Linked DNA regions of Notamacropus eugenii. The protein of the gene in region 1 interacts with the protein of each later gene in a biochemical or structural test. Links are inferred from orthologs where the notes say so. Each region holds a gene or a part of one and is shown on either strand. Other genes may lie near its edges. The genes, in order: FOS, RUNX1 and RUNX2.

Region 1 (10,649 bases):
TATATTCCAAGGGCCATAGAAAGCTTCATTAAAAGGACTACACAAGCAGAAGAAAAATCCAATTGAATCATCATCTCTTGTCCTGATGCCAAGAGCGTTTCAGAATGAAAACACATTTGTGCCCAAAGTGGCCAAATCCTCAGCCTTAATTAATTTGAGGGGGAGGGAATTCTATGCAGAAAGTATTTTAAGGCATGGACTATCCTTGTGTTCTCCCTCTGAGCCACCAGATGAGTAACTTTGCCCCTATGACCTCCATTGTCCTGGTGCATGTGTGGAAGGCAAGAACTGGTTACAGCTAATTCTGGTTGCCATCTCTAGGCATTTGGCCTGGATAAGTTATAGTGTGGTAACAAATAGTCATTTCGAGAAAGACAATGTGGCTTTCATAGATGGGGCTGACGATCTTCCTCATTTGGCTCATTAATAGGCATTTGCTTTATCCTCCCTCCTTCACTACTGGAGATTTTCTATTCATTATGGGCCAAACTAGCAAGAAGTAGCCCAAACTTCTTGTGCTTACTTTACATTTTGAAGTTTCCAGCTATGTAAGAGACACACACACACACACACACACACACACACACACACACACAGCCTTGCATACCTTTGAATGACAAGAACTATTTATTTAGAGCTGGAAGAAACTTTAGATGTCATCTGGTCCAATTCCCTCTTTTCACAGATAAGGAAACAGAGGTCCAGAGAGGTTACCTGCCTTGTCCTGGATCACACAGCTCTCAAGTGACAAAGCTGGGATTTGAATGCATTAGGTCTTCTTACTGCAGATCCAGTGCTCTTTTTGGCTTCTTTTTCCTCAGAAAGGTTTTCAGAATGCTATATTAATGCTACCATTCATTTTATTTCCTTCCCTAGAGGTTATCTATAATTCATACTTTATTTACTTTACGCTATATCTACAAAGTGTACTTTATACAATGTACACTTCAACATATCCTGTATATCCATTAGATTGTATCCATTTCACTTAACACAATGGCTGGCATATGATAGGTGATTAATAAATGTTTGTTGGTCACTGTTTACACATTGATGTTTCTATGTTGTTTTACTCTTGGAGGGTGGGCTTCCTGAGGGCATGAACTGTTTTGGTCAGTAGATAGATGGCTAGGCCTGAAGTCAGGAAAACTCTACTTCCTGAGTTCAAGTCTAGCCTCAGACATTTACTGGGCAAGTCACTTAACCCCGTTTGTCTCAGTTTCCTTATCTGTAAAATGGTTGGAAGGAAATGGCAAATCACTCCAGTATCTTTGCCAAGAAAATCCCAAATGGCGTCATGAAGAGTTGGACATTATTTATTTGGGCAACCCAGACAGGATTATCATCACTGTTACCATTTCACAAACTGGAGATGTGAAGATGAGAAGCCATTTGACTTGGTGAGAAGTAACTCTCCCAAGGTCGCAGAAGGAGGCTTTCTGACTGAAGGTCTCGTGCTCAGACCACAGCCCTTTACCACCAGACCACACTTCCCTAAATAAATAAATACTTCTGCATGTTGTGTGCAGACTGTGCGCAGAGACATTTACGTAGGAGGTGAGGATAGCAGCCTTTCACTTACTGTAGCAACACTAAGCTAAAAAATACTCACTGACTTCACTTAACATTTCCTATCCCTCAAGAAAGCCTTTTGAACCAACAGTTTGATAACTTTAATTCAAATACCACAGAGGTTTAGAAACAAGAGGGAAATATATACTTAGGAAAGGACCAATAAGTAAAAGCAAGTAAGTTTTCCATTGAGTTACAGAAAAGATGAAGACTTCAACCTCCAAATGCTGAAGGAACACAGTGATAAATGAATAGAGTATGGATCTTGGTATCTGGAAGACCCTGCTTGAAATCTTGCCTCATGGTAGATTGCTTGAGTTTAAGAATTCTGAGCTGCAAAGGATTAAAGATAATCAGGTGTCCTTACTAAGTTTGTGCTAAACATAGTGAACCCTTGGGAATGCCAGTCTGCCTATGGATGGGTGAACCAGCTCAGGTCAGAAAAACTGAAGAAGTTAAAGCTTCCAAGCTAGGCAACATTGGTATCAAGTCATGAGAGGCTGGTACATTTCCAGCCTTGGAGAGATAAGGAAACCCAGTCTCACAGATAAAATAAAATAAAATCCTGACTGAGACACCTTGGCAGACACCTAAATACTCTCTGCCTCAATTTCTTCATCTGTACAATGTGGGCAATAATACTTGTGCCACTGTCATTGTGTTGTTGTGAGGATAAGATGTGATAATGCAAGGCAACTGCTTTGTAAATTTTAGGTATCATTGTTATTTTTTTAAGTCATGTGGCCAAGATGTTTTTGTACCCAGAAAAGTGCCAGATACTTTACTGTCATCCTCTAAGAGCCTAAGCTTGAGGGTAAAACTATATTCTCATCACATGATACATAAATGTGACTCTATAATAAAAATGAATTTTCATTTTTAATAGATAATCCTCCGCTACCTTCACTAAAGTCTTACTCTGATGCCTTGTTATGGTATGGAAGTGATCCTAAGCTATTCCAACAAAAAATAATCTCTGGCAAGTCCTTCAAAGTTGCAAAGGTTTAAAAACAGGAATGCAGCCAGGTGAGAGGAACACTTGCCCCCTGGGTTGAGTTATGTTCCAATGTCTTTTCCCTTCTTCTCTCCATTTGCATAGATGGCCAAAAGAATCTTGGGGTTGAGAACACTGAGAGGCCTTCAAAACAGAAAGCCCTTGGCAGGTTGATAGAAGAACCTCTAATGCTAATGTTGACAAGGCACAGTTTGGAAACCAGACAGGGAACCACAAGGAATTTCTAACCCCAAATCAGACGAGATTTCTGATGGAAACCCTGCCCTTGGTAACAAGAAGTCAAGATTAAACAAATAGATGAGTCTGTGGTTACTACTTAGCTGGGACTACTCTGTGTCCAGAAAATCTTGGCAGCAATGGTGAGAACTATTTTTTTTGGAGATGAAGTATCAGGTTCTGAAAAGTGACAGATTCTCTCTATGGAAGGAAAAGTTACTGAGAGTTCTTGCTTTTCTCCTTCTTTCTCTCTCTCTCTCTCTTTTTTTTTGGTTAAAGGGTGTAGCTTGCGGGAAAAGGGGAGTAGGGAAAGACATATTTGGAAATGAAGCTGATTTCAAAACTAAGGCTATCAGTAACATTTTTTTTTTTAAATTCCAAAAGATAGTTCTCTTCTGGCTAGAGGTTTTTCTAGTTGGAAGCAGAGGGATGGATTTGATGACCTTTTCAGGTCTCTTTCAACTCTGATGATTATATGATGGAGTTCTAGAGAGAATAGACATGAGAGCATCTAAGGACTCATTTTTCACTATCTGTTTTAAAAATGAGGCAAAAGGGGAAAGCGAACATAAATTCTTGAGAGGAAATCTTGACACAGTTATTCACCAGTATTGATTCTGGAGGCCTTGAAGGGAACTGAATGAAAATATTACATATTTTCTCTTAGCTAGCTGTAAGACCAAGCTAGAAATCAAAAGGGAGGTCAGATTCAAGGAATTTGGAACATTGACCTAATTTTTCCAGATCCGATAAAGAAAGGGAGTGAAGGATGAAGGGAAAGAGTACTGCTTTTTATCATAGGTACATCTGCTTTCATAATACTTACCTTTTTAAAGACCAAGGGCAGTAAAATGCAGAAAAGTCGAGAAGATAGGATTAGAGAACAGAGCAAGATCTTTTTAGGATTCAGAGCTGCTCTAACAGTTTTTTGTTTTTTTTTTTAAGAAGGAACAAGGGGATGGGGAGTGACGATTCCCGAGTTTAAAGCTTCAGTAACATAAGCCAAACAGTGACATAAAATGATGAAATTCTGTTTTCACCTTTGCTCTGACAGAGTATCACAAAAATAGCACATGGCCCAGTTCCACGAATCTCCTCCTTTCTCTTTTCCCTCTCTCTTTTCTCCCCCTCCCCTCCCTTTTGGTTCAGATCTCTAAGAATGGAGGTTACCGCACAGCAGCTGCGGCGGCGGCGGCGGCAGCAACAGCCGCCGCAGCAACAAAAAAAGCCCCCAAAACAACAAAATTCATCAGTCACTGAACTTAGCAAATGATCTCAAACCTCGGGAAACAGCCACAGCCCCAACAGATCCCATCCTCCTTCCCAGAAGGGATCTGGCACTACGTTCTCCCTAGCGCCTGGGCTGCTGCTCCCTGCAGCGGTCGCTTGGATACTTGAACTGGGCAGGCTCCTGTTTGTTGCTGTAAACAGCGGCTCCCCTGTTACTATCTATAGCCGGGATCTTTTTGGCTTCTGGGTGAAACGGACTGGGAAGCAAATAGGCTGTCAGACTCCAGGCACAGCCCTACACAATCCAGGCGGTGACCTAACGCGTGCCAGGGGACCTGCGTGATGCATCCCAATCCCCCACTACACCCAGAACAGTCCAGGGGCGTTTTCTGATTACGTTGTAACTAACAATACTGCGGTTGTTTCCTATGTAGAATTGGGGGTACCGAGACACTCCTCCCCTCCAACCACACACCCTCCCCATTGGCTTTTCACCGCAGCAAACGCTGCTCTTTTGTGGCTCAGAGGTCGCCAAGCTGAGCCTCGGTTTCCAAGGCAAAAATCAGGGGTGGTAAACTGAGGCTGCTTTTGGAGCAGAGAGGTTGTTGGTACTCTGGGTTTTAGACGGGTCTTGGCACGAGCAGACAGCTTGCTCCAGATGACTTTCTCGCTAGAGAAACTTCGTGTCTTCCGGACTGCGGAGATACTTCTGGGTTTCTTGTATTTTTCCGAACCATTTGAAATAACCAGCCCACTGAGCTCAACGTCTTCCTTAGCCTAGAGTCCCTATTCCACCCACGCTCCCCATCCCCAAACTGGAAGTACCTATTGATTGCTCATTTTGTGAACTCAATTTCCTAAAGTGAACTAGATAAACTTTTTTTCGAGTGTGTTCTTGGAGAGGAAGGGACCGTCCCACTCTAGTATCTGGCTTTGCCTTGCCCACCCGGAGTTGAGCTCTATCCCCCACCCCCTTACTCCTCCTGTACCCCTCTGTCTTCCGAGCCAGGTTGGATCAAGTTAGAAGGTAGCAAATTCCTCTTTATGTGGTGGTTTGCACGACAAACACCTATTAATTCTTATTAATTCATCTATTAACAACAAAACGCTGTAATTATACTAGAGCGGGGTGGGGGTGGGGGAATCTCCTTTCTCTTACAATCCTGCCCTCATCATAGGTCCTTTCGAAAAGTTTTTGTATTTTCTGGCAATCTTGTGCACATTTGGAGACCACCCTGTGGCTTCAAGCAAGGGAAGCTGAGTCCAGGTCCTGAGCAAAATTGGGAGAACAAATAGAGAATTGGGGACGAAGCTTGCGTGCGGGTCAAGGGACAGATCTCTAAAACCCAAGTCTCTGCACTTGTGTCAACATCCACAAGTCCCTGAGCTGTCTCCCAGACCACGTATGACTGGGGTTACAGGGCCACAGGTCGGTTGAAAGAGAGGTGATAAAAGGTGATAAAGTTTGATCACTTTGCTTCCCTTCCCCCCACACCCCTCCCCCCAAAGCCTTCTGGTCTACCCTACCCCTCAACGACTTGGCTACAGCCTCCTAGCAATTCCCGTCAGTCCCTCCTCCTTTACACAGGATGTTTCCCATATTAGGACATCTGCGTCAGCAGGTTTCCAGGCCTAGGAACGCTGAATTTTGAGTTTAGGGGAGATTTTTTCCAGGGATATCTCATGTGGGTCCCTGCTTCCTTTCCAAAATCCATTATAAAAATTCTACTTAATTTAAAGATAATTTGAAAAAAAAGACAAGAGGTTCAAACCGACAGGACACTTTGAAGAGCCCCACGGAGCAGGCCGGAGTGTAAGGAGTCACCCCTCCCGTCTAGGAATGGACTCTACCCATGACGTGAGGCTCATTCATGAAATGCTGGGACTCAAATAAAAGGAGCAGCTTCGCTCTCGTACTCCAACCGCATCTGCAGCAAGCCGCGGCGGACGGGACCGAGCAGCTGAGCGGGGATCGCGCTCATACAAAGCAAAGCAGCCTGCTCCGATCTGTCCCCGCCCCCACCACCCTTCCACCGGCTTCTTACAAACCTCAACATGATGTACCAAGGATTCAACACCGAGTACGAAGCATCTTCCTCCCGATGCAGCAGCGCTTCCCCGGCGGGGGACAGCCTCTCTTATTACCACTCCCCAGCGGACTCCTTCTCCAGCATGGGCTCTCCTGTCAATTCACAGGTAAGAGACTCCGCGAGGCGAGGGGCGCACAGCTCTGGGGGGTTTGCTTCTGATCGGGTTTGGGGTAGGGGCAGAGGAGGAGGAAGGGCACTGCCTCCCTGCAGAGTGGCCGCCAGGCTGCTGCTATTCTTAGGTACTGACCATACCGTGAATTTTCGCAGTCGGGTTTGAATGAGGAGTTCTGAGCGCACCCTTAGAGGAGAATGCTGCTTCCCTTTCATGGCTCCAGAGTGGAATTGCCTCTTCTTTTAGAGCCACTCTCCAAGAGGGAGGGAAGAAAGCAGCTTTCTCCTTCCTAGCAGCCCTCCCAGCACGTTCCTCGCATTATTTGCCGCTGATGTCTGATAAGCGTAAGGGGAAACGTGTCACGGAAAAAGGCTAGCATAGTCCTAGGTGATGGAAGGCGTCAGAAAAACAGCTTTCCCTTTGCCCAGATAGACTTCTCCCCGCAGCTAAGGAGCGGGAAGGGGGTGGGGGGGGCGGAGGGTGCAAGCGGGAGGGGTGTGTAAGGCAGTTTCATTGATAAAAAGCGAGTTCATTGAGGAGACTCCGGAGCGGAGCCTGCGTCAGTGCAGACGTCAGAGATATTTATAACAAACCTCCTTTCATGTGAGTGATGCTAAGGGGATAACGGGAGCTGTGACTGCCCAGATAGAAGAGCGTGGTTTGCAAAACACTTCGAGGGAAATGAGGAGACCCTTTCAAATGGAAATAGAACATTTTATAAGAGGAATACAACAGCTGTTCCTGGAGGAGATAGTTTCTTTCTTTGCAGTCGCAGTAAATGCACCTCACCTTCACCTACTTCTGAAACCTGGAATCCCACCAACGTCAATTTTTTTCTTCTTTTTGTTTTAGGATTTCTGCACAGATCTGGCTGTTTCCAGTGCCAACTTTATACCAACTGTGACGGCTATATCGACAAGCCCAGACCTGCAGTGGCTGGTCCAGCCCACCCTCATCTCTTCTGTAGCCCCATCCCAGACCAGAGTCCATCCTTATGGAGTCTCTTCTCCTTCAGCTGCTGTTTACTCTAGGGCTGGTATCATGAAGACTGCAGGAGGCAGAGGGCAAAGCATTGGCCGTAGGGGCAAAGTTGAACAGGTGAATATATCTCTGTGTAACCTTTCATGACAAGTGGAGAAGGATAGTAGTGGGTTAATGGGTTGAGTTGGCTGATGGAAACTTGTCGCCTGACACTGACAGGACTGGTTCTGAATGCCTTCACTCTAAGACAGAAACCTGCACTTGAGACAACTGACACTTTCTTAGTTTGCATACCACCACTATCACTTTCCCCCTAGCACAATTTGAAATGTAATGGGCAGATTCAGATAGGTTGTACACTTTTAAATTAATAAGTATGAGGCATTCAGAAGGGAAGGACTCTAGGACTCTGATGTAACAGAAGCTAGAGTTTTCTTTGTTCTCTGGTTGAGGATCTTATTTTACATTCAAGTCACACCCAGTCTGCAAGTGCAGGTTAGAAAAGGCCTCACCCAAGAGACTATTAGGAAAGGGGTGGGGGGGCAGCCAGAGGAACAGGTGGGATAGTGAATGGAGGTGCTACTGTAAAAACTGTAACTGAGCACTGAATGTGGATTTGCTTATTTTTCTAGCTTTCCCCAGAAGAAGAGGAGAAAAGAAGGATCAGGAGAGAAAGGAACAAGATGGCTGCAGCCAAATGTCGTAACAGAAGAAGGGAACTGACTGACACACTCCAAGCGGTAGGTGTCTACTTGGGCCATTCCTTCTAGGATCTTGGGGGCTGAAGAGAAAAGTTGCCTATCGGCCATGGGACATCGGGGACTTAGCTGAGCTTGTCCAAGTCTCATGTTTTCCTTTGTTCCATTGTTTACAGGAGACAGACCAACTAGAAGATGAAAAATCTGCTTTGCAAACTGAGATAGCCAACCTGCTGAAGGAGAAGGAAAAGCTTGAATTCATCCTGGCAGCCCATCGACCTGCCTGCAAGATTCCTGATGATTTGGGCTTCCCAGAAGAAATAACAGCTGCCTCCCTTGACCTTACTGTTGGCCTGACTGAGGCTACAACCCCAGAATCAGAGGAAGCTTTCTCCTTGCCCCTCTTGCAGGAGACTGAACCCAAACCCTCTGTGGAGCCAGTCAAGAACATCAACAGTTTGGAGCTGAAGGCTGAGCCCTTTGATGACTTCCTCTTTCCAGCTTCCTCCAGACCTGGTGGCTTAGAATCTGCTGCTCGTTCAGTGCCTGACATGGACCTGGCTGGTTCCTTCTATGCAGCAGACTGGGAACCTCTGCACAGCAGTTCCCTGGGGATGGGAGTAGCAGCTGACCTAGAGCCACTGTGCACCCCAGTGGTCACCTGCACGCCTACCTGCACCACCTATACGTCTTCCTTTGTCTTCACCTACCCAGAAGCTGACTCCTTCCCCAGCTGTGCAGCAGCTCACCGTAAAGGCAGCAGCAGCAATGAGCCCTCTTCTGACTCACTCAGCTCCCCAACCCTGCTGGCTTTGTGAGCAGAGGAAGTGAGGGTGAGGGTTGAAGGCACAGACAAGAGCCCAAGCTATGGGTTCTGCTGCCGCCACCACCACCATCATGCTGGAGCTTTTGCATCACATTACAGAAACGAGAAATGTGTCTTCCCCGCAATGGTTTCTGTAGACCCTGGGAAGGCAACTATCTGTGCGTGAATCAAACCAGGCCCTTAAGGACATGGATGATCCCACGTGTGGACTTGAGTCCTTACCTCTTCCAGAGATGTAGCAAAACGCATGGAGTGTGTATTGTTCCCAGTGACACATCTGAGAGCTGGTAGCTAGTAGCATGTTGAGCCAGGCCTGGGTCTGTGTCTCTTTCTCTTTCTCCTTAGTCTTCTCATAGCATTAACTAATCTATTGGGTTCATTATTGGAATTAACCCGGTGCTGGATATTTCCAAATTGTATCTAGTGCAGCTGATTTTAACAATAACTACTGTGTTCCTGGCAATAGTGTGTTTTGATGATTAGAATGACCAATGTTAACTAAGAAAAGATATGACTTTATTTTCTAGTAGATAGAAATAAATAGCTATATCCATGTACTGTAGTTTTCTTCTACATCAATGTTCATCATAAATGTTACTGATCATGCATTGTTAAGGTGGTCTGAATGTTCTGACATTAACAGTTTTCCATGAAAACGTTTTTATTGTGTTTTTAATTTATTTATTAAGATGGATTATCAGATATTTATATTTTTATTTTATTTTTTTCTACCTTGAGGTCTTTTGACATGTGGAAAGTGAATTTGAATGAAATTTTAAGCATTGTTTGCTTATTGTTCAAAGACATTGTCAATAAAAGCATTTAAGTTGAATGCGACAAATGTTGTGAAGTTCTCTTTCTACGAGTCTGGTGAAACTTTGATATGTGACATATTACCAAAGGAAGGGACATAGCCTTCTGTCTGATATCAAAGAAAGAAAAATTCGTTATTGAGATTGAAAGTCTTCCCAGAATTAACTTTGTTTTTGGAAATATGAGCTTACATATTTGTAAAGGTTCTTTGTGTACTTAAGAAAGCTCCATGGTTATTGCTGGGATGGGTTCTTTCTTCTAGTTCTGTCTCATGAGCTGTGAACACACCATGACGGGTATATCAGTGCAGATTTCAATCCATTTATGCCTTAGCATAGATTTGGACCTGAAAGGGACCTTAGCGATCATCTTGTTTTACTCCCTCTTTTTTAACAAAGAAAGAAAATGAGACCTAGTAAACTTAAACTTAGACCCAAGGAGACAAGTTAGTTAATAAGTAGTAGAGTGGATTCAATCCCAGGTTTTCTGATTAAATCTAGTATTTCTTTTCTTGTGCTATGATGTCTCTATCCCTCATCCTGCTCTTATCTTGTCCATTTTGAAGATCCACCCAATGGTTGAAAGTTTACCTTTTGACTTTTTCACATTCCATGGGTGCCAATGGAGTACTTTGGATCTAATTGTTTATTGTAGCCACATGACTGGTAGTTCTCCTTTTCTGATCATACATTCCTTGAACATGCTCTCTCTCATACACATACATGCCTGCACGCACACACGCACGCATGCATGCGCACGCACACACGCACTCTACCTAATCATAGATTTACAGCTGGATAGGACTTCAGAGGTCAATGAGTCCAATACCTCCATTTTACCAGCAAGAAGACTGAGGCCCAGAATGGTTGAGTCATGCCCAGGGGACACATAACCTTGTGTCTGAGGTGAACATCAAGCCCAAGTCTTTCTAACTCTTAAGTACTACACCTACCTACCATACTGCTTCTAACTTTTTTAACAGCATAAAACCACAAGATGCCATTTTAATCTTAAAGGATTCCTCTTGGCAATCTCAAAAATAAACCTTAAAACTGTATTTATATAACATATACATACCACTTTCTTCCCAAACTAC
Region 2 (10,794 bases), on another chromosome or scaffold:
CTTCAGCCAGTCCTTTTCACAGTATGAAAACTATTGTTCCTCCTCTAGGAGTTCTGTTGTATATCAGTGACCTTTCTAAACAGTGGCTCAATAAGCAACTCCTTGGGTATCAAACAAACAAGGCATCTCTGGGTTAATTAGTTGTATTTATGTCAGCTGATTCCCTTTTGAGTAAATTTAAGCCATTTTACAGATAAACCAAGTTTACATTCCTGATGATCTAGGTTTCGACGAAGCCACTTTGAGCTCTCTTCATGCCTAAATGAATGCCTCTTCTTTGACTGCGTTGCAGGATTTTCATCCGTGGCTCTGTCCTGGACCCTCTTCTCTTGTCCTTAGCTACAATTTCACTTGGTGATCTCATCAGCTCCCATTATCTCTATGCACATGATTTTCTAATTGACTTGTCCTCTTGGCCTCTCTTCTGATCTCCATTTTATGTCTCCAACAGATATCTAAAAATGTACATTCCAGAGACATCTTCAGTTCCAAATTGAAGACATGATCTTTCCCTTCAAAATTTCCTCTCTTCCTAATTTCCCTATGGCTATTGAGGGCACCACTATCCTCCCAATTACCCAGGCCAAACACCCAGGAGTCATTCTTAACTCTGCGCTCTCTCCCTCCCACATCCAATCCCTTGTCAAGTCCTGTCATTTCTGCCTTTGTAACCTATTATGTATGACGCTTCTCTTTGTTGAAAAAATTTATTTAGCATTTTATTTTTTCCAGTTACACGTAAAAACATTTTTTAAGATTTATTTTTAAAACTTTGGGTCCCAATTTCTTTCCTTTCTTCTCTCCCTACCCTGCCCCTCCACATTGAGAAGTCAAGCAATTTGATATGTTATACATGTGTAGTCATGCAAAACATTTCCATTTTGTCACGTTATGAAAGAAAGCCAAAAAAAACCTCAAGAAAAATAAAGTTTAAAAAGTATGCTTTGATCTGTATTCAGGCACCATCAGTTCTTTCTCTGGGGATACATAGCATTTTTCATCCTTAGTCCTTCAGAGTTGTCTTGGATCATTGTATTACTGAGAACAGCTAAATCTTTCACAGCTAACTATTTCACAATATTGCTGTACCTTTGTACACAGGACATTTCACTTTTTATCAGCTCATGTAAGTCTTCCCAGGTTTTTCTGAGAGCATCCTGCTCATCATTTTTTATAACACAATAATATTCCATAATTTGTTCAGCCATCCTCCAATTGATGGGCAGCCTCTCAATTTCCAATTCTTTACACCCAGAAAAGAACCACTATAAATAGTTTGGGATATAGACCTACTAATGGTGTTGTAGATCAATGGATATTCATGGTTTTATAGCCCTTTGGGCATAGTTCCAAATTGCTCTACAAAATAGTTGAATCAGTTCACAACTCCACCAACAGAGCATGAATGTCTCATTTTTCCCACATTCCCTCCAATATTTGTCATTTCCCTTTTCTGTACTATAAGCTAAATCTAATAGATATAAGGTAATGAAGTTATTTTAATTTGCATTTCTCCAATCAATGGGGTGTTAGAGCATTTTTTCATACGGCTATTGATAGCTTTAACTACCTCATCTGAAAACTGTTCATATCTTTGGATCATTTATCAATTGGGGAATGGCTCTTATTTTTATAAATTTGACTGTTCCCTATATATTTGAGAAAAGAAGGCCTTTATCAAAGAAATCTGCTTCAATTTTTTTTCGCAGTTACTACTGCTAGCTGTGGTCTTATTCCCACCCCCTCCATTTATTCTATTATTTCTCCCCTTTCACCTTGTCTCTCATTAAAAGTGTTTTGCTTCTGACTACTACCTCCCTCAATCTGCCCTCCCTTCTATGACCCCGCCCCTCTTCTCATCCCCTTCCTTTCTACTTCCAAGTATATTTCTATACCAATTGAGTGTGTTTGTTATTCTCTCTGAACCAATTCTGATACGAGTAAGGTTTACTCACTCCCCCTCATATCTTCCCTCTTCCCCTACACTGTAAAAGGCTTTCTCTTGCCTCTTTTATGGGAGATAATTTACCCCATTCTACTTCTCCTTTTCCCCTTCTCCCTATACATTCTTCTTTCATTCATTAATTTTATTTTTCAGATATCCCCCTTCATATTCAACTTACACCTGTGCTCTCTGTCTACATATACTCCCTCTAACTGCCCTAATAATGAGAAAGGTCTTATGAGTTACATGTATCATCTTCTCATGTAGGAATGTAAGCAGTTTAACCTTATTAAGTCCCTTATGATTTCACTTTTCTGTTTACCTTTTTATGCTTCTATTGATTCTTGTTTTTGGAGTTCACATTTTCCATTCAGCTCTGGTCTTTTCATCAAGGATGCTTGAAAGTTCTCTATTTCATTGAATCAGCCCTCCCTCACACAAAACAAAGTCAAGTGCAAGTAATGTCATTATTTCTCTGATGGCATGATCTCCTTTGGCAACGAAAGATGAACATACACCATTTCATTGAATATCCATTTTTCTCCTGAAGGATTATATTCCATTTTGCTAGGTAGATGACTCTTGGTTATAATTCTAACTCCTTTGCCCTCCATAATACTATATTCCAAATCCTCCAGTCCTTTCACATGAAAGCTGATAAATTTTGTGTGATCCTGACTGTGGCTTCACGATATTTGAATTGTTTCTTTTTGATTGGTTGCAATATTTTCTCCTTGGCCTGGGAGGTCTTAAATTAGTCTATAATATTCCTCTTCTCTCTCTCTCTCTCTCTCTCTCTCTCTCTCTCTCTCTCTCTCTCTCTCTCTCTCTCTCTCTTTCTCTGTCTCTGTCTCTCTCTGTCTCTGTCTCTCTCTGTCTCTCTCTCTGTCTCTGTCTCTCTCTGTCTCTGTCTCTCTGTGTGTCTGTCTGTCTCTCTTTCCCCTCTCTGTCTCTCTCTGCCTCTCTCTGTCTCTCTGTGTATATGTGTGTGTGTCTGTCTCTTTCTCTTCCCCCTTCTCTCTCTCTGTCTCTCTCTGTCTCTCTCTCTCTCTCTCTCTCTCTCTGTTTACCACTCTCCTGGCCTGTGCTCTGGTTTATGAGTGACCAAAATCATCCTTTTCTGCCCTAGAAATACGATGAGGGTCCCATTCCATTGATGCCATAAGCTCTGGTGTCCTAGTGTTCCTCTTCTCCCTGAGACTGCCACCCAGAACTGAGACCCAGATTTGACTATGGGCAAAGCAAAAGACTTACCTTAGTGCTAACAAAAAGACTCTTTAGTCTCCTTCTTACCAGGTGTTCAATTCCTTTACAATCTGTGAGCTGAGAGCTCCAGAAGCACTTACTGCCATTGCTGATTCAATGGTTCCCAAGGCCTGCTCCTGGTTTGCTGGGGCCTGGTCTGCAGCCTGCACTGGACTATACTTTCACTGAGTTGTGATAGACCTTTCCTGCTGACCTGCTAAGTTGTCTTTGTCTGGAAAAATATTTAATTCGTCCTATTGTGGGTTCTGCTGCTCCAGGAACTGCTTTATGGCATTATTTGAAGGTGTTCAGAGGGGTTTAAGGGAGACTTCAAGTGAGCTGCTGCCTTTTCTCCACCATCTTGGCTCTACCCCAGCATAATGCCTTTCTATAGACTTGGGGAAGGCAGCACACAAGCAATTTAAAATACTTGTACTACAGTGTGAGAAATATGTATTTATATATGTGTGTATATATATATATATGATTTTATTGACATAAAAAGCTTCTAGTGAGGAAATGTCTATCTACCAAAGTAAAGCAAAAACTTATAATTTTAGAGAGAGACAGACAGAGAGAGACAGAGAGAGAGCGAACAGTATAATCAGGGTTCAAATCCCCTCTTTGATAAATATTGGCTTGTGTAACCTTGGACAAGTCATTGAACTTCTCAAAATTCCAGGCAATACTCTGTTTCCCATGCCTTCTCTCTGCCTGGCTCTCTTCTTCTGTCTCTCTCTATCTCTGTCTCTCTCTGTCTCTTTCTCCCTCCCTCCCTCCTTCACATACGGACTGTCTTCTTTGCTTATATTCGCAGTTTAGTGAAGTTACAAAGGCAGACTGAATTCAAGAGCAAGAGAGTTTTTGTACAGTCACTAGTTGAGAGACCAGGAAAGCCCCAACTGTTGCTTCACAGGGCAATGAAGTTATCCTGTGGCTAGTGTGGCATCTAACTGTGGGGACAATGTTTCATAGCATGCATTCAAGTGCGGGTACTCTTGCCCCCTGGTGTTATGTCTGAACCCCAGCTGTATGTGATTGCATATGTCAGACCACAGACAGCTTTACCCTTAATACAGTCTTGAAAATTTTTCCTTGCCTTTGACCACTCCATCAAGGGACCACTCTTGACCATGTCTGTACCCACAAAATTAAATTGAGGATACAAACTATTTAGCTGGATAATTCAAGCAAAAATAGCCAAATGCTTTTTGCCTGAAGTATCTAAATACTTCAGGCAAAGCTTGTGGGGAGGTTTAAACAGAAGTATCCAAATGATCACATCAGTTCTCCAGTTGATTTGTATGTCATTATTGGCCCTAACTAAAGTTTGCAATGGTAGCTAGACTTGAGAGCACTGGTGGTTAGGATCCTTGAAAGATGATTTCTTTGAGAAGGGCCATTTGTAAAATAATACATAAAACAAACTGCTCATGGATTCAAGTGGAATTTCAGCTTTATCAATTGACACAAGAACATTGGAAATGATGAGTAAATTCCAGTTATGCTGCTAAAAAATAATACATGGTAAAGAAGCTTTATACAAAAAAAAAGGCATCTAAACAAGTCATTACACAAAAGCAGGCAGAAGTTAAAAATGTGGCAAATAGATTTTTTCAAGAGTTTTGATGACTTTTTTTCTGAATATTAATGGTCGCTATATACAAAAAGAACTGGAGAAAAATGTCTATTTAAAGTCAAAATTAGATCTTTTTTCTTCTTGTCCAGCAATGGACATTATTTTTAGGCCATTTCTATCTGTTGCAAAGTGAAACAGAAAATCAAGGCGATTTGCTGATATTTTAAAAAATACATTTTCTGGTCATATAGACTAAATTAGCGTTTAAGTTCTAAATGGTATACGTAATCACCTCAGTTCTTTACTTCGCTTGTATTCATTGCTTAGATTGTTTTGAGGTAAATGCTAGAACTTAAGAAAATAAATGATTTTTTTTCATCTTGTTTGAAAAAATGACTTAGGGAAGGACAAAATGCTACTTTTATATGTAAGCCTAAGAACAGCAAGTAGGAAAAATAAATAAATACGTACAATCAGAAGGTTTTGCCCATATGTAAACTTATTTGCTATTTTTAGTATCTCAAATAGGAGCCTTTGCACAGGTCATCACTTGTACTTATAAGGAGATTTATCAGTGATCCTACCTGGTGAAAAACAGAGTTCTCCTAAATATGTTCTGTAGAATACTTTGACAAGTTGAAGATCATAGTGACCATACTCTTAGACTATTTTCTCTACAGTTGTGAAGTAGACTCTCTGCAGGTTTCATTTAACTGAAGAAAAGTTGGGGGTAGTGGAGACAATTTTTGGAAATTACAACAAAGAAACATTACCTATGCAACAGGTACTGCGTTGCTCAGAAATGAATGCTATGTCTCTTCATTTTTCCTCCAATGGACTGCAATTAACTGTTTGATCTTTTGTCAAGGAATGGTAGTCCCTTAAGCCTTTTACTAGAAAGATGGATCTAAACAGAGAAAATCATTTTTCCATAAATGCAAAATGTTCCATTCATGAAATTTGAAAAAAATAGAATTTGCTTAAACGTTGTCTTTTTTCTTTTCTTTTCTTTTCTGCTTTCATTTATATTATTGTACTCTTTAATAGGAACTGAACTTTCCTAAAGCTGATGGGTAGTATTTTAGATTATAGGGTATGTATCCTGTTTTGACAGCAGCCTGATGCCAGGACCAAATTACTATTGAATAAGCAGCAAAAAAATCTTTATCAAAATACTCAGTAGTTCCAAAAACCACAAATAACACCAGAAGCAAAGTTGTACTAAATCAGCAGAGACCATTTGTATAACAAGGGACTGAGTCACTTTTTTTTAAAGCATCTCTTTTGCTAACACTACTATTTCCTTGCAGTCTGGAGTGGGGGGGCAGTTGGGGGTAGGGAAAGCATGGCTCAGAATCTTAAAAATGACATCACTTAAGTCACATGATTGGCAAGAACCAATTAAGATGGGCTGTGGAAAGGGGAACAGTTAAATTTGTAATTTTGGTTGTGTGAAACACTTCTTTGGGGCCTCATAAACAACCACAGAACCACAAGTTGGGTACGGTGGCAGTCACACAAGACTGGGTCCGGGATATTGGTCAGCAGGCAGGGCAAATCACACTGTCTGCAAACCACAGAGTTTCGTAGAGCGGTAAGCATCACCAAGCCACAACCAAGCCACTACGAGGCTCTTTTCAAAAAAAAAAAAAAAAGTTTTTGATCTTCAACCATTTGAATAGTTGTTTTCAAAGAGGTATCTTTCATAGGGCTTTTGGAGGCTCCTAAGTACCGGGGTAAAAGCAAGATGTAGAGAAGGATGGAAGGGGTAAAGGGTTAAAACAAATGACTCTTCTTGGTTTTCACTTCCTAAGGTGAAAGAAATCCTATAGTCCCCCAACTTTAAGAAAGGACTACATTGGAAGGAGAAAACTATGACTTCGGACAGCATGTTTGAGTCATTTCCTTCATACTCACAGTGCTTCATGAGAGGTAAGTGTTCTTCAGACTTTGAAAATGTACTTCTGCTTAGTTTTGCATAGAACAAGGAGTGGCATTTCAGTCCGTGGCACAGCAATGCCTGAAACTCTTGTCTATTCTGCGTGAGGGATTCTGGCTGAGGCATATGATTACAAGGCGATTGGGTTACTTATTCATCATATGGCAGCTCTTCAGAAAAGTTTTTCAGAAATAATTAGTTAAGCTTCTGAGGCACTCGGTTGGTATTTAAGAAACTTTTTCAAGTGCTAGTCAGTTAGGCTTCTGTTTTTAAAGTGCTAAAGATTATAAAGCTATTCCAAAGCTCTTTGGGGTTTACAGTGATGTTTTGTGTGTTGGACTGTTAGGTCTTAGGTATCCTGAAACAGTGCGTGCCGGCTGTAACTCATTCTTAGAGGTTCTTATGTCTTAGCGTGAGCACATGGATGCAGCCAGTAGAGAGGAATGCTGTCTCATTTATGATACCTGCCAGTTTGGGAAGAAGGAAGGATGAGGTAAAACCTTGGAACTCAGGATTAGAAAGGACAACCCATGTGTCTCAGAAAGGTGGGAACTGGACAGACTCGTTTCATGTGGCTTTAGCTTTAAAATGTCAAACTGTGACAACCCTGCATTGCCAAGTAAACACATTGAAAGAAACAACCAGTTCTTTCCAGAGACAGAAAGAAGTCAAGCTATAGCATGCAGAAGTCTCTCCTTCAAGCAAAAAGAAAGGAGTTTCAGTAGACTTGTGAAGTGTTCTTAAATTCTCAGTAGAGCAGATGCTTTTGTCATTAGACTTCATGTTTACTAATCTGAATTGCCAGTTTGGAAAACCCGTCTACATTCATGCGACCCGACTAGATCAAATTTTCTAAACTATAATTAAAGTGAACTTGCTTTTATTTCGGGGTGGTTTTGTTAAGTTTGTTGGGGGCATGGTTATAACCTGACCTTATTTTTTTTTAATAAAAATGTTCAGTGTTTTGGTATGACCATGCAGGTTCAACATTCAGAATTCCTTGTTGGCATAAGGAAGGCTTTTGAGTTTGGGGGACTTTTTGTCACGGGGGAGGGAAGGTGAGAGTGGAAAATTAATTTACTTTCTCTTTATGGGTATAAAATCTTTAGATCCCTCTCAAACAGTGCCATAGTACTTTTTTTTTTTAAATTCATACTAAAAAATGTAAGCAGAGGCAGGCAGTTACTATTTCTCAGGATCTCTGAGATTTGAAAACCCAATTAAGATGTGGGGAGATAAGGGAAAGGGAATGAAGCAAGGGTCATTAACAGATTTAAAACTTCAAATTAAAGGTTTTAAGTTATTCTTTACTGGCATTGGAGGGAATTTTAGTGAAGTTGAATCATGAGAAGTTTTATGAGTCATGCAGTCTTGCAGGATCTCTTAGCTTGCAAAGCACAGACATCAGACCACTAGTGAAAAGCTGCTAACTACTCCCCTGGCTCGGCATTTCCTTTCAGCTGCTAACAAGTAAAGGAAACAATACTTGCAGAAAACAAAAAAAAGTACCTTCCTGCATTTACTTTAGTTTTACACATTCCCTCCCTCCTCTTTCCCCCCAAAATGTTTATTATTTCCTACTTTGTTAACACAGGAAGACTTATTGAGGAAATTTTAGAACATTCCACAGGGCAATAGATTGGAGTCCATCATATAATTCTGGCATGTGAAACTTCCCTTACAGAAAGAGCACAGAAGACTGTCAAATGATTTATTATTATTTATGCAGTGTTGACAAAATAAAATGAGCCCAACTCTAATCCTGGCACAGTAAGTGTGTTCTAATGCTAGACGAACCAGTTCTTTAAAAATGGATCAATTTGCCTTCAAGTGGGTAGGTATGGAGAGTTCTAGGATACTCAAAATTAGACTTAGAAGTCAATTATCACTTTCTTCTTTTCATTAAACAGAAACTTAGGCCATTCAGAACACTTAACTTTATGGAATACAGAATTTTAGGGTTGACAGAGAATTCAAGGGGCAGCTAGCTAAATCCCCAGACTAAGAGGATGACCTCTACAATATCCTTAAGAAGTAGTCCTAAAGCTTTCACCAGAAGACCTTCAATGTGAGGGAGCAGCTAGCCCCTTTGCACTTTCTGATAATTCTAATATGAAAATATTCCTATCATTGAACCTAAATCTGCTTCTCAGAAACTTCTACCTATTGCTGAATTCTACCTTCCATGACCAAACACAAGTCTAATCTTTCTTCCATATAACAACCTTTAAATACTGCAAGAAAGTCATTGTAAACCTCTAAGTCAGTTCTGATTGTCCAGTCTCTCCAATGAATTCAACTGATCTTCATGTGGTATATTATCTAGACCCTTTACCATCTGCTGACCTCCCTCTACTAGCTAAGTTCTAGTTTGTCAGTCTTTCCTAAAATGTGGCAACAAGAAATAAAAAATATATGCTTTATGTTTTCTAACCAAAACAGAATACAGGAAAACTATTGCCTCTTTCATTCTATGAACTTTGACTCACTCAATGCAGCCTCAGATCATGTTAACTCTTTGGTCCATCATGGAAGTAACCCTGATATCTGCCTGAAATAATTTTGGCAATTACCATTTATTTTACCAACAATGTCACTATAAAGTTATCTAGTTTGGGTGACAACGCCAAGCACTTTAATTGTATATCTACCAATTTTTCATTTTATTTGGCACTATGTAGACACAGTCTTAAGAGTCTGATGCAACCATAATAACCACTTTCTCAGACGTGTTCTCTCCCATATTTCTCAATACTGTTTACATAGCCTGGACATTGGCAATTTCTAAAGCAATCATTCTTGCTCCCTGAAATTTATTGCATTTTGCTCCCTCACCAAGCGCAATTACAAGCTGAAAGGGAAAATAACAGTTTGTTTTCCTCCATGAATTTGATTTTATCAGCCCATGCAGTCCTTGTAGAAGGAAATCCATAACTCTTTTTTAGCTTGATATTCATGTGAAAGTTGGGGAAAATAGGGGGGGGGGGGATAGGGAAGCAAGCAAACAATTGCTCCCTTCTTTGTGAGAATACTGTCAGACTCTGCAAGTCTGACATAGTAAATGAATGTGGTATACCACAAAGGATATGGCTCTTTTTCTATCATACCACACCAGGTCCTCACTTAGTTCACTTAGGTAAGGAAGCTAAGACACTGGTGAAATTCCCTGGTGTGTACATCATACATATTTAGCACATAAAATCATCCGTCCAGCCCAGGCTTTTGGCCTCTGAATGACTTATTACTAAAAGGGGGAAAGGAAAAGAAAGAAAGAAAGAAAACACAAACACATAGCTGCTTTTGCAAAGCAACAAACAGGTAGGCCGCCTTGTTTTTAGAAGTGGCTTAGTGGTCTACAGAAAGCCTAAACATTGGCATACCTTTGAGTTCCTAGAACCACAGGTACAAATTTCAGCAGTTCTGACTTGTTCATCATCTCTATGGCTCGGTTATGCCAGAGCCAAGTCTTTCAAAGAAAACCATAGAACAAAGGCTGCATTTAGTTATATGCTATGCACAACAAAGAGCAGTGAATGCTCATTAGGATCTTAGATTATTAGAGCTAACATAGAACTTACAGATGTTCTAGTCACTTATAAATGAGGAAATTGAGAACTGAAGCGTTTCAGTAACTTTCTTAAAACCACAAACTTAGAGACAGAATCAGACTAGAAACTTAATGTCCTCTTCTTTTTCTAATACAATAAATCAATTTTCATTTACTAAGGAAAAATATGTATTAAAAAGAAACTCCCCTGAATCACTGAAGAAGTATTAGCAATAAAGCTCCAGGGAGTAAAGATCATTAGACTTTGGCTATGAATGTATTTGTGCTAGACTTATACAGAGCCTTCAAAGTTCTCAAACTATAAAAAAAACTGGAAAACAAAGTGTCCCACCTGCTCTAAGAAGATGTAGAACATGTGGTCTTCAGGTCTTGTTTTGCTTTGTTTTTGCAGGACAAAAATTTTTACATTCTAAAATTGTCCATGCAAACAGAAATTTGGGGGTAGGGCAGAGGTGTGAAGAAACCCTCACAATCTCAATTTATTATAGAAATTCTTCCCTTCATCATTTCACATATTG
Region 3 (11,422 bases), on another chromosome or scaffold:
ATAAATAAGTAAAGTGTTGGGGGAAAAATCATCACATTCAGTGAAAAAAGTATCTACGTAAAATATTTTGTTTAGCTACCTGTAGCTACTTTTGAGGGGTTCAAACACTTATCTCTTAAATTATATCATTTCTGTGTTAGAAAAAATAGCATTCTATCCAAAGCATATGTGTATATATTTATGTTTATACATACATGTATGCAATATCTTATCAGCATTAAGTTGCATAAGGTAATACCCTGAGATTAATTTACTATCCCTGATCTTTCATTTAGTGTACCAAACTCTTTATGGATCTCCAAATATCGGACAAATATGGTCAAGCATCCAGATGTTTCTAAATGTGCAGATTTCTGGAATCAGAGAGCATATGTAGCCTAATCACTGGACTTACAAAGTTTTACTTCAGATGCTTGGTGTATCTGACACTGCATATCCATCTTTTTATCTTATATTTCTAATAAATTTAAATTTTACAACTCTTTAACATGTTACCTTCGAATCTAATGAGAATTCTGGGCCTTTTGAGTTGGCAGATTAAATACTTATTATTATTCACAAATATTCCAAGATTTTCATTTTTTCAGGACACAAAATGCTAATCATTAAAAATGACTAATTAATAAGGGAAGATGGCAAAGACTAAAAACAATTTGATGAGCCAGTTGCAAAGTGAAACTTGCCCCCAAGTGCAGCATCCCTTTCCCATAATACTCATTCCGATTTCTGTACTGATACTAACAATATAAAAAAAACCTATCTAGATAACCAGTGCTTTTAATTGACCTGGAATTTTCTTTCTTTCTACTTCCACCCACACACTGCATCTGAATTGTTGAGTGGGGGAAAAGTGATCAAGGACTAGTAGCTGCGATTGGCCTGTGGGAGTTTTGGCACCAGCCCCACTACGGGAATAACTGGCATAACCTCCTCCTTTTTTCATTCCCGGAACTTTCCTTACTTACCCCAATCTCTATTGACAGTACCAACCCAAGGGACCCAAATCCAACCTGTACAAGTTCTGCTAATGAGGGGTGGTGACGATTAGTATAGCCTTTGGGAGAAAAAAATGCTTCGGTCTAGTTTACGTTTTGGTTTTGCAACTCAGAAATCTAGGCCCCAGGGGTGACAACATTTGTTTTTTCTTTCAGGATCTCCTCTTTATCTTGAACAAGTCCCCAGGTTATCCCACTGCCTGGGAAGGTGCTTCATTCCTGCCTCCACAATTTTTGGGCAGCCCCTGCTTGTCCCGGAGCCTTCATCTGGGCTGCTTCACTCCGTGTTGCAACAGGCTGAGGACCACACACTCCTCAACCTGACAGGGTGTTTTCCCGAACCCAAACTCACCCCTAGAACTGATATTCTAACCCAGATAACGGTATTTGCTAGGCGAACTACCAGGAGCGACAGGGGGAAGACGGAGAGAAGACAGATTGGTAAAGCAGTTAACTTGGACTTCTCCCGCTGTTGCCGGGTCCAGTTCCCCTAGTTCTTCAAGTTCGTATCTCTTCCCGCAAAAAAGGTGAGGGGGTACTAACCCACCAGCTTAACTCACACGGCTTGCTGGAACTTAAAGCGATGTAAAGAGAAAATGGGAATGAGAATAAAGGAAGCAAAGCTGTTTTTTAAAGGCTATACTGAGTTTTGTTCCAAACTTTTAAAGTTAGAAGTAAAATTTTCAAGTGATTTCTCCCTCCCCACCAACTTTCCCAGACTGAGCTCTAAGAAGAAAGAAGAAAATTGGGACGGGGGCGTTCAGTACGTGAGGATCTCTGTTTAGTCCAGTGGCACCTCGGGGGTGTAGAAATGGAACTCACTCCGAATCAGTGCGGACGGAGCCCGGGCACACATATAGCCCCTTTGGGGGCCAGATCCTCGCCCGCCCAGCCCACTCTCGGCCCTGGAATACCTCAGAAGGCTCCCCTCTCCAGCTCTTCCACTTCCCCCTTGAACCCCACAGGAAGACAGGAGTTTTTCTGGACAGCTGCAGAGAGCCTCCAACAGCCGCCCCGCCTATCTCTTCCCAGCCTCAGGGACTGAGCGAAGCCCGTCGAGAGTCTAGAAAAGCCGGCATCCTTAGCTTGACCTCCAGGGCTTTCCTGCCCTGGGGCCCAGCTGCCCAACTAGCCCAATGCCAGATCCTCTAAACCTCCTCGGGTAATAATGGGTTTCGATGCTCTCGGGCAGAGTCCCTGGGCATCGACAGAGAGCCCAGCCCGGGTAATGATTTCCCCCGGAGACCCTCTGGCATGATAAAAGAGATGGCACTGAGAGGTGGAGGCGAAAGAGAGAAAGAGAATACTCTAAGTGGCTTCGACTCTTAGTTTTTCCTTAAATCAAATAAGAGACTATAAAAACTGTGCTGAAGGAGAGGGGGCAAATAGAGCCTATATCCCTCGCCGCCACTGCGTGCGAACACAGATGGAAGTCTGGGCAAGGGAGGGGGAGCAGTAGAAACTGAGCACTGGGGGAGTGGGTTGGAAGCGAAGAGGTGACGAACGGAACCGTGGAGAGGACACTGGTCCCGGGATGCTATGAGAGTTAAGGACGGTGAACGAGGGAAGGCTGGCGGTGTCGGGGCTTATAGCGCCTAAGTGATTGGAAGAAAGTTACCAGGGGCTGAGCGAGGAGTAGGACTAAAGCAAAGGCAGAGAAGCAGGGAGGACTACTGCTGGAGAATGAGGGGGTGAAGTGGTAAATGAAAAGGTTGAAGGGGGAAGAGGTCAAAGAAAGAAGGTGGGACAGAAGGTAAGGGGGGGGGGGGGGGAACTAGACATTTGGAAAGGTGGCTTAGAGTCTAAAGAGGTGCACTAAACTACCCTGGCGGCAGAGAAGGGAAAGTGGAGCTGGGATGAAGGGAGAAGGGATTAAAAAGGTGCATCATTGCGAAGTTAGGGGAGCGAGCCAGCCGGGAGCTGGAAAGCACCATGCCCTTTTTCAGTTCGGATTAGAAGAAAGGTACACACGGGGGTGAGGGATTCTTGGTTAAAATGGGAGAGTCAGATCTCTTCGGGAAGGCGTTGGGGCAACCCTTACATTTGTGATAACTGGTAAGGGATCAAGACAGAAGAATGCATCGCCCCCTTCCTCTGAGGGAATCTGGGGGAGCCGGCTTCCTCACACAAACACACACACACGAACAGGCATACGCACACTCACTGCCTGGTGATGGGGAGTTCAGACGGGCTGCGGTACTGGGTGAGCAGGAGGGTGGAGGCAAGGGTCAGAAGGGCAAGGCGGCAGAGAGAATCGGCAGCCCCTTCCTTACCTTGAACGCCACGGGCAGGGTCTTGTTACAACGCCAGTGAGAGGGCAGGACGGAGCACAGGAAGTTGGGGCTGTCCGTGCGGACTAGTTCAGCGGGGTGGTCAGCGATGATTTCTACCATGGTGCGGTTGTCGTGCGGCGGGCGCAGCCTGGGCACCGCGGCCGCCGCCGCCGCCGCTGCTGCCGCCGCCGCCGCCGCAGCCGCCGCCGCCGCGGCCGCCGCCTCCTGCTGCTGCTGCTGTTGCTGCTGCTGTTGCTGCTGCTGCTGCTGGGCAGCCACTACCGGGCTCACGTCGCTCATCTTGCCGGGTTGCAGGCTGCTGGAGGGGGGGCTGAACCGCCGACTGGTGCTCGGATCTACGGGAATACGCATCACAACAGCCACAAGTTAGCGAAGTGGCCGGGGGGGAGGGGAAGCCGGGTGAAAAAGAAGGGAGAAAAGGAAACCAGGAGGGAGAGAACGAGGGGAGGGGGAGAAATGAGGGGTGTAGGCAATGGGGTGGAGGAGATAAACGAGATCAAGTTCGATGGAGCCAAAGGCCAGGAAGAGTCTGACACTAGGCGTGGGGAGGGGGTGGGGGAGGGGGAGAGTGGAGGTGCTGATCAGTTCGGATTGGCGGGGTGGGGAGAAGAGGACGAGCAGTTCTTTTCCGGAGTCTTTGGAAAAACCGAGGGTGGCAGCCGAGAAGGGGCGCGTGGGTGTGTGTGGCGGCTGGGGGGAGCTTGTGGTTGGAATGGGTTTAAATGGGGTCCCCTCGGACGCCTGGGTTCCTGGTCCTCCCTGGAGCCCCCCTTTCCCCAAGTCCAGTTCTGCAGACGGCTTCTTGTTCAGCAGCGCCCAGCTGGAAACAGCATAGCCCCGGGACTGCCTGCTGCCGCTGCTGCGGCCGCGGCTCTTCGCACAGCTGCCCAGCTGCAGCCCTCTCCTCCGCCTCCGCCTCCTCCTCCTCTTCCTTCGCCGCCTCCTGTTGCCGCTGCCGCAGATGCTCCCCCCTTGTGTTCTAGCTCACTCAGATTACGGCTGCCGCCGCCGCCGCTACCCTCCGCAGCTTCAGGCCTCCTCCACTCTTTCTCTCCTTCTCCCCCCTCCTCTTCTCTCTCGCTCACCACCACCTCCTTGCTTCTAAGTGCAAGAGTTTCTTTTCCTTATGATTTTCAAGGTGCCGGGAGGTAAGTTGAGTCGCAGACGATCTCTAGTCCTAACTTTGCATTGTTGCTGTACTGCTGCTGTCCACCAGCGGGGGAGAAACACCAAGGAGGACGAGACTGTCTGTGCCGCAGGTTCGGGATACCGAGCCGGTTTGGGTGTCGGTAGATGTGAGAATGGCTCCCAGAGAGAGAGAGGGTACCTCTACTTGTCCTCTTCCGGTCTCCCCTAAAAGACCGGGGAGAGCTTTCCTAACCAAATGTATTTAGGAAGCCCAAGAGGTGGTGGCTTGATCCGACAGCAGTGAACTTTTCGTTTTTCTCAAAGTCTTTCTGCTGACTTCTTAATCTGTCTCTCGCTCTTCACCCCCGCCACCCTACCCCACCCCCACCACAGCCAAAAAGGCTTGAGGGAGAAAAAAAGTTCTTATTTATTTGTTTTTAAAGCGGAAAAGGGAGTGGGGGTTGAAATATTGGTCAGAAGAATAATTAAAAGAGAAAAAAAGCGTGACTGATGACAGAGGATAAGAAATAAACTTTTTTTCTTACACACTCAACCTTGTGACTGCCAAAGAAGAAGGAAGGATTAAAAACAGTTGGAAAACTGTCAGCTTGGTGGTTAAAATAGGTCGCAAAAAACTTGCGGGGGGGGGGTGTGCGCAAATAGGCAGTTCCCGGTGCGTTTTCAGCCCCTCAAATCTCTGCTGAGTCTAAAAATGAATAAATTAAAAATCCCCCCATAACTTTCTCCCCCCCAAATTCAGCGGGTGTAATTTATTTATTTGTATATCAGAGTTTAAAGGGGGGGAGAAGCTACTTTGGATCCCCCAAAAAATGTGGTCGAAAGGATGAAGGAGCGAGAAAAAATGCCTCAGTTTTTGTCCTAAAATGTGGTTTTTGGAGGCTGGGATTTCTAATGATTAGGTTTTTGTGGTTTATATAGACAGGACTCTCTGGCTAAGGCGATCATTATGCTGATGAGAGTCAGAAGCACGTGGGTGTCTCCAGCCAGCCCTCATACTCCGTAGCCTTCAAAATAAATACAGCGATGTGCTTCGCCCACAGAAGCAGGGTGGGGGTGGGGGAAATGGGAGGGGGAGAGAAGAATCTTTTGGCATCAATTTCACCCACAGGAAGGGGGCGGGGGGGGGGGGGGGTGAGAGAAGGACCGTTTTCTCCCTTTGCTCGATTGTTACTGCTGCTCTCCCGGCTTTTCATGAACATTTTCCTCTTAACAACTTGAAGATCTTGTTTTTCACAAAATGAAAATCATGAGTTGCCGGCGGAGTTTCTGAGACTCCAAGTGAGGATCCGACACAATCTACATTTCCTTAAGTGAATGAAAATTCTGCATCATTCCTTAGACTTTAAAGATAAAGTGTAACTGTTTTCTCAAAAAAATAAAAAAGCTTGCTGAAAATAATTTACATACCCAATAGTAATTTTTTAAAAATATGTAAACACCTCCCCCATATCGATAACAACCTATGAAAATCTTCCTGGTAATTTCTAAGGCTTCGCTTCAATTTACTGCTCCAGTTAAAAGGTTGGATTGTGTTTAGGCTAGAGGGGTCTGCGTTTGAAAGGTGTTGGGGTGGTGGGGGAAATGCAGAAAGCGTAAGTGAGGGGCATTGGGCTCTTGGTGGTGTTGACTTTGAAACTAGTTTCAAGCCCGAGATAAACTCCGAGGTCTATTTTTAAAGATACACGGAAACAAGAATCGCCCCAGTCCTGGAGGACCAAAAGAGAGCCTAAGAAAGAAGTGTGTGTGTGTGTGTGTGGTGTGTGTGTGTGTGTGTGTGTGTGTGTGTACGCAAATCAAAGGAATGAGCTTCCTCGGACCCAGATTGCACATACCAAAAAAAAAAAATTCCTCCTCTTTGGGGATATTTTTTTCCCTTTCTTCCCTGTCTATCCCTAATTTCTCCTTTCTTTTTTCCATTTTTGTTTTACTCTTTTTACTAATTTATTCTTTGTGCATCCGCCTCTCGACCCTAAACCATACACACAGATACATATACACATGCAAGCACAAACTTCCTTCCCTTTCCCCTCCCTTTTTCTTTCTCTGCCTTCCTACAGTTGCTACTGTCGCTGACAAGTTCTCCAAAAAGAAGGATACAAAAGCAACAACTTTCGGAAACAACCCCCTTTTTCCCATTGCCCCCCCACTCCGATCGCCATCCGTAAGTCAGTTCTCCCCCACCCTCCAAGCCTTGGCGGGCGCAAGTTTGTGGGATTATCCGAGTCGAGTTTATTATGCATCGAATTGTTTGTACGTCTGTATGTACGGTTTTTGTTTTGTTTTTTGTTTTTTAATAATCTTTTTAGTCACAGGGGAGAGCTCTAATTCTGGGCACTGTTCACTATTTGCAAACACCGCGGTCAATTTTCCCCTTGCCTGAGGCTGCTGTCCTGGAAGAGGAAATTCTATTTTTTTTTTTTCAAAAACCAAAAGATACCTCTCAGTTTGTCACTGTCCCTTACCCCGTTCCCCACCTTTTTGGGGGATGAGGAAAGGACCAGACAATACCATTCCCTACATTGGCAGAGATCTCTTGGTATCAATCAAAATGAAATTGCGCCAGGGATGCAAAATGCAAAAGAGGGGAGGCGTTGCAGGAAGTGAAATTATTCCTCTGGTTTAAGGGAAATAGGAAGCTTAATAACCAACAAGCCAGATGAAAACCATGCCTTCTCCACCCTGATGTCCTTGCCCAGGAGAACTACTGAATTAGAAAAAGGTGAAGGAGAATTTCAACACCCATTTTCAAATATGGGAAAGCTGAACTTTTCTTTTTGTAAAAGAAGATTTAGATCAGTTGGAAAGTTTAACCAATAACATTCAGGACTTTCCCTCTCCTTTTCCTTCAGTGTTTTACCTTTCAATATACTTTATATGTCAAAGATAGAATAGGAGTATTGGAATAAATAGTAGAAGTCGCTAAGGTATAATTTTACCCTATTTACAAATAAAACTCATGGAAGAGAGAGAGGGCAGTTATGGAGAATTTAGTGAATGTCAAAATTATTTATTTTAATTAGTCACATCCGGTAGCTGAGTTTTATAGACACCTTCCCTGTCTTCCCCCTATTTCACATTTCTGTAGAGGGAATATAATCAGCTATTGGAAGGTACTTGTCTCGATCTCTTAAAATATCCTACAGTTATTTATAATGTGGAAATGAAATTTTCCACTGAATACTCTAACAAAGTTTCAGGTATCTGGCACTGGTGATTTTTCAGGCTCCTTGCAAAAATATCCTGCTGAACATTTACACTTTCAACTGGAACTGAGTGAAGCCTGGAACGGATCTCTTGGCTCAAAGCATTATTTTTAAAAGAAGAAAAAAATTTAGAAACCCCTGAATAAAACCTCCCCTGGTAATAAAAGGCACATATGAAAACAGTATGGAATTTTAAATATAAATGTACATATATAGTTATAGTTATAAATTTTATGATCTCACAATTTGGTTATGATTTTCTCTTCTCAGAAAACATAAGGTACACAACTTTCCTTAGATTCTTCTTAGAGAATACTCATTTTCTTGATTCTACTTAATGGGGTCAGAAAGCAAATAACCTTAGTAGAAATGTAGCAGCATTGAAAATTATGTTCCAGAATAGGATGTCAGTGGAAAGATAATCCTCTTACAATTAGTACAAATGTCTACCAATGATACCGAGTGATTCTGCTATTCTAACTTTACAATGAAAAAAGTGAGGTATGAAGAGATCGGATTATTTGTCTATTCAAGTAAAACAATCCCAGAAATGGTAATAGATCACATCTCTGCATCCAGCTTGTTGGTCCTAAACTCTTGACAGCATTTTATATTTTTTGTGATGTGAATTTCATCATCAAAATGGCAGACCATAAAAAGTCAACTTCAATGGCTTTCCAAATAAAGTAAATCTTTAAAGCATTTTTCAAGGGATCAGCTAATAAAAACTTACAGTTCCTAAGTGGAAAAACCCTTCAGTACAATGGAAAATTACAGATGTGTTAATGGGGCCTAAAACTCTGCATGTATCAAATGGGAAGGCTTTGTAAACAGGAATTCACTTACAGGGCTTTACTTTGTACTGGATGGTGTGATTGTAGTATGGTCATAAAACACCTTCACTAAGTGTGCTTGTAATATTTGTATCATTACAAACTCTTATATTAATTAATAGCTCACATTTATACAGCCCTTTGAGGTTTGCAAAGCACTTTCCATATGTTAACTCATTTGATCTTCACAACAACCCTGAAAAGTAGGTTATATTGTATTGTCCCCATTTGACTGAGGTCAAGAGAGGATAAGTGACTTGGTAAAGGTCTCCCAGCAAGTAGGTATCAACATCAGTATTTGAACTCAGGGCTTCCAGATTAGAACTTCAGTACTGTATCCATTGTGCCACCTAGCTCCCACAAAGAGAAAACACCTCAGGCCCACAGCAGAATGTGACAGCAGTAAAGATCAGGTATTTGATATGATTAATCAATCAGTCAACAACAATTTATTAAGTACCTACTATGTGCCAGGTTTTAGGAATATAAATTTGAGGTAGTCCCTGCACTGAAGGAGTTTATATTTTTACTAATATACACAATCTCTGTCTGCAGTCTGCATAAAATACCCATTTAAAAATGAAGAATTTGGAACATGAATTAATTATTTGGTGCATGATTCCAAAATTCATTCTTGACTGATATTTTTCACTGTTTGCCAGTTCTTTTGAATGTCTGTGTATACTATAGAACTTTCATTTTTTAAAATTAAGAAACTGGGAGAAATGAAGAGAAGAAATTTGGATATTATTTGAAAGTAAGGAACAGGGCTCTTTGCTGGATACCTTTATCAATCAATCAGTCAGCAAGCATCTATTAAATTTATTCTGTATTCCAAGAATTGTGCTAGGTAATGAGGATAAAACTCAATAATGAAAGAGTCCCTGCCCTCAAAGAGCTTAATTCAGAGGTAAGGTTATGAGGGGAAAGGACAGTAAATCTTACCAATGCTTTTACTAGTACATAGACTTCTCACTAGCTTCATCCTCACTAAATAACAATAGCTCACATTTCTATAACACTTAAAGGTTTGTATACTGCTTTATATGAATTATCTCAATTCAGCCTTGTGACAACTCTGTGAGTTAGATGCTACTATCATAGTCCACATTTTACAACTAAGGGAAATAAGAATCAGAGAGGTTAAGTTACCTGCAGAGTCACACAGCTAGGAAATTGCTGAGCCAGGATCTGAATGCAGTTGTTTTCTACTCCAAGTCCAAACCTCTTTGACATCATGTGTATAGGTCATGTTGTATATTTTAATTAATTTTTCCACTTACTCTTTCTCTGGATTATTTTTAACAGCTAATTTTTTCAAGGCCCATCTGTAGTTATAATAAGAAATAAAATATCTGTAGTGGGAGACTCAGGATTGTAATACTGCTCTCAGTTAGTTATCCTGTTATTTTATCCAGTGGTCCATGGTGATCTTTTATAATAAAAGCATGCAGTGTTATTATTAAGGTAGATATGAACTTTAATTATTGTACTTTATCATCAAGTTGGACACTTGTTTAGTTGATCTCTAAGTATGGTGCTCAAAAAATTGTAAACTTTGCATTACCCTAAAAGAGCAACACACTCAAAGGTACCCTGTTGGCATGACAAAGTTCATGCAGTTTCCAAAAGCGTATCATCTTTCATCAGTTAGTGGAGGGAAAATAATAGCAATACACTTTTATAGCACTTTAAAGTGGGCAGATCACTTTCCATACATGGTAATACTGATCAGTACTAATTGTATAGTATACAAAATCAGCTCTGTGGTTGGCAGCATTCCAAGGTACTACAGCAATGCTGGAAGGGTGCTGAAATATTGAAGCAGTATTTTGTGAAGCTCTGCAATCAAACCGTGAAGCGTTGCCTCAAATCGAAGGTTTCTTTTGCTATTCCTTACAGCATGATAAGGGTCCATCATCATCATATGCCATAATTTGTTTGGTAATTTCCCGATTAATCAGCACCTCCTCAGTTTACATAGTATGAAGAGGATGGTTTCTGAGAAACCTGGGAAGACTGCATGAATCAATGCAAAGTGGCATGTGCAGGACCTGGAGAACAATTTAGGCAATAATGACAGTGTAAACAAAACAACTTTGAAAGACTTTAAAATTCTGATCGATATAATCACCAAATGCAGTTCTGGAGGATGGATGAGAAGGAATGCTCTCTGCTTCTTGAGAGAATTGGTGGAGTCTATTGCAGAATGAGATATATTTTTACATGGCCATTGTGGGGATTTGTTTTGTTTGACTATGCATCTTTGTTACAAGGGTTTTGTCTTTGTTTATCTTTTTTTCCCATGGTAGGCGAGGGGTGATGGAAGGAGGGAAAATAAATTCTGCTAATTGAAAAAATAAAATGAAAATGAAAAAAAAGAAGGCTCCCTGAATTTTCCTCTATTCAGTATATTGTCACTACCCAAAGGATTGAATTGTTTCTCCTCCTTAGAGATTTTGACTATAGTCTGACCTCTTTATTATCTCCTGTGATCTTTCTTCAGAATGAGTCATACACATCATAACTCTTTCAGGCAGAATGTAAAATCCACTTTACTACAGGGTAAGTAATATATTGGTAAGCAAGATTCAAACACAGTTTAGTCTACTAGAATTTGGTATGCCTTCACATATAAATTCATCTCCTTGCTCCAACCCCAGTGAAGGCAAAGAGTTATCTAAACTTTTTATTTCACCCAGTACTGTGCTCTGCACAAAATAGGGGTTTAATAATTTTGATTGAGTTTTTGAACCTGTCTCATACTTGAGTTAACTAGACCTCTTAGCCTCAGTCCTTGGGGCTACCAAGGTGTCTTTGGAAAGCATTTTTAATTAGAGGTCAAAACTGCTTGCCTTTCAACTCCTCAAGGTGGTGGTGGTCCTTCTAGGGTGGCATTCACAAACTCTTCCACAAGGTTCTTTTCTTAAGCTCCCCCTGTTTAGGTT

Evidence for each region.
Region 2: the proteins of FOS (region 1) and RUNX1 form a complex in vitro, tested with the Homo sapiens proteins (2 studies listed by BioGRID). The link is inferred for Notamacropus eugenii from reciprocal best matches to the Homo sapiens genes FOS and RUNX1.
Region 3: the proteins of FOS (region 1) and RUNX2 form a complex in vitro, tested with the Homo sapiens proteins (2 studies listed by BioGRID). The link is inferred for Notamacropus eugenii from reciprocal best matches to the Homo sapiens genes FOS and RUNX2.

Annotation. Positions count from the first base shown.
Region 1 is NC_092878.1:58,113,217-58,123,865, forward strand, and holds FOS (protein c-Fos), read left to right. Parts: upstream 1-5,451; 5' UTR 5,452-6,088; coding exon 6,089-6,229; intron 6,230-7,087; coding exon 7,088-7,333; intron 7,334-7,848; coding exon 7,849-7,956; intron 7,957-8,090; coding exon 8,091-8,732; 3' UTR 8,733-9,581; downstream 9,582-10,649. UniProt on the Homo sapiens protein: Nuclear phosphoprotein which forms a tight but non-covalently linked complex with the JUN/AP-1 transcription factor. In the heterodimer, FOS and JUN/AP-1 basic regions each seems to interact with symmetrical DNA half sites.
Region 2 is NC_092876.1:423,814,787-423,825,580, forward strand, and holds the start of RUNX1 (runt-related transcription factor 1), read left to right. Parts: upstream 1-6,243; 5' UTR 6,244-6,363; intron 6,364-6,583; 5' UTR 6,584-6,643; coding exon 6,644-6,701; intron 6,702-10,794.
Region 3 is NC_092873.1:109,180,610-109,192,031, reverse strand, and holds the start of RUNX2 (runt-related transcription factor 2), read right to left. Parts: upstream 4,795-11,422; 5' UTR 3,641-4,794; coding exon 3,269-3,640; intron 1-3,268. UniProt on the Homo sapiens protein: Transcription factor involved in osteoblastic differentiation and skeletal morphogenesis. Essential for the maturation of osteoblasts and both intramembranous and endochondral ossification.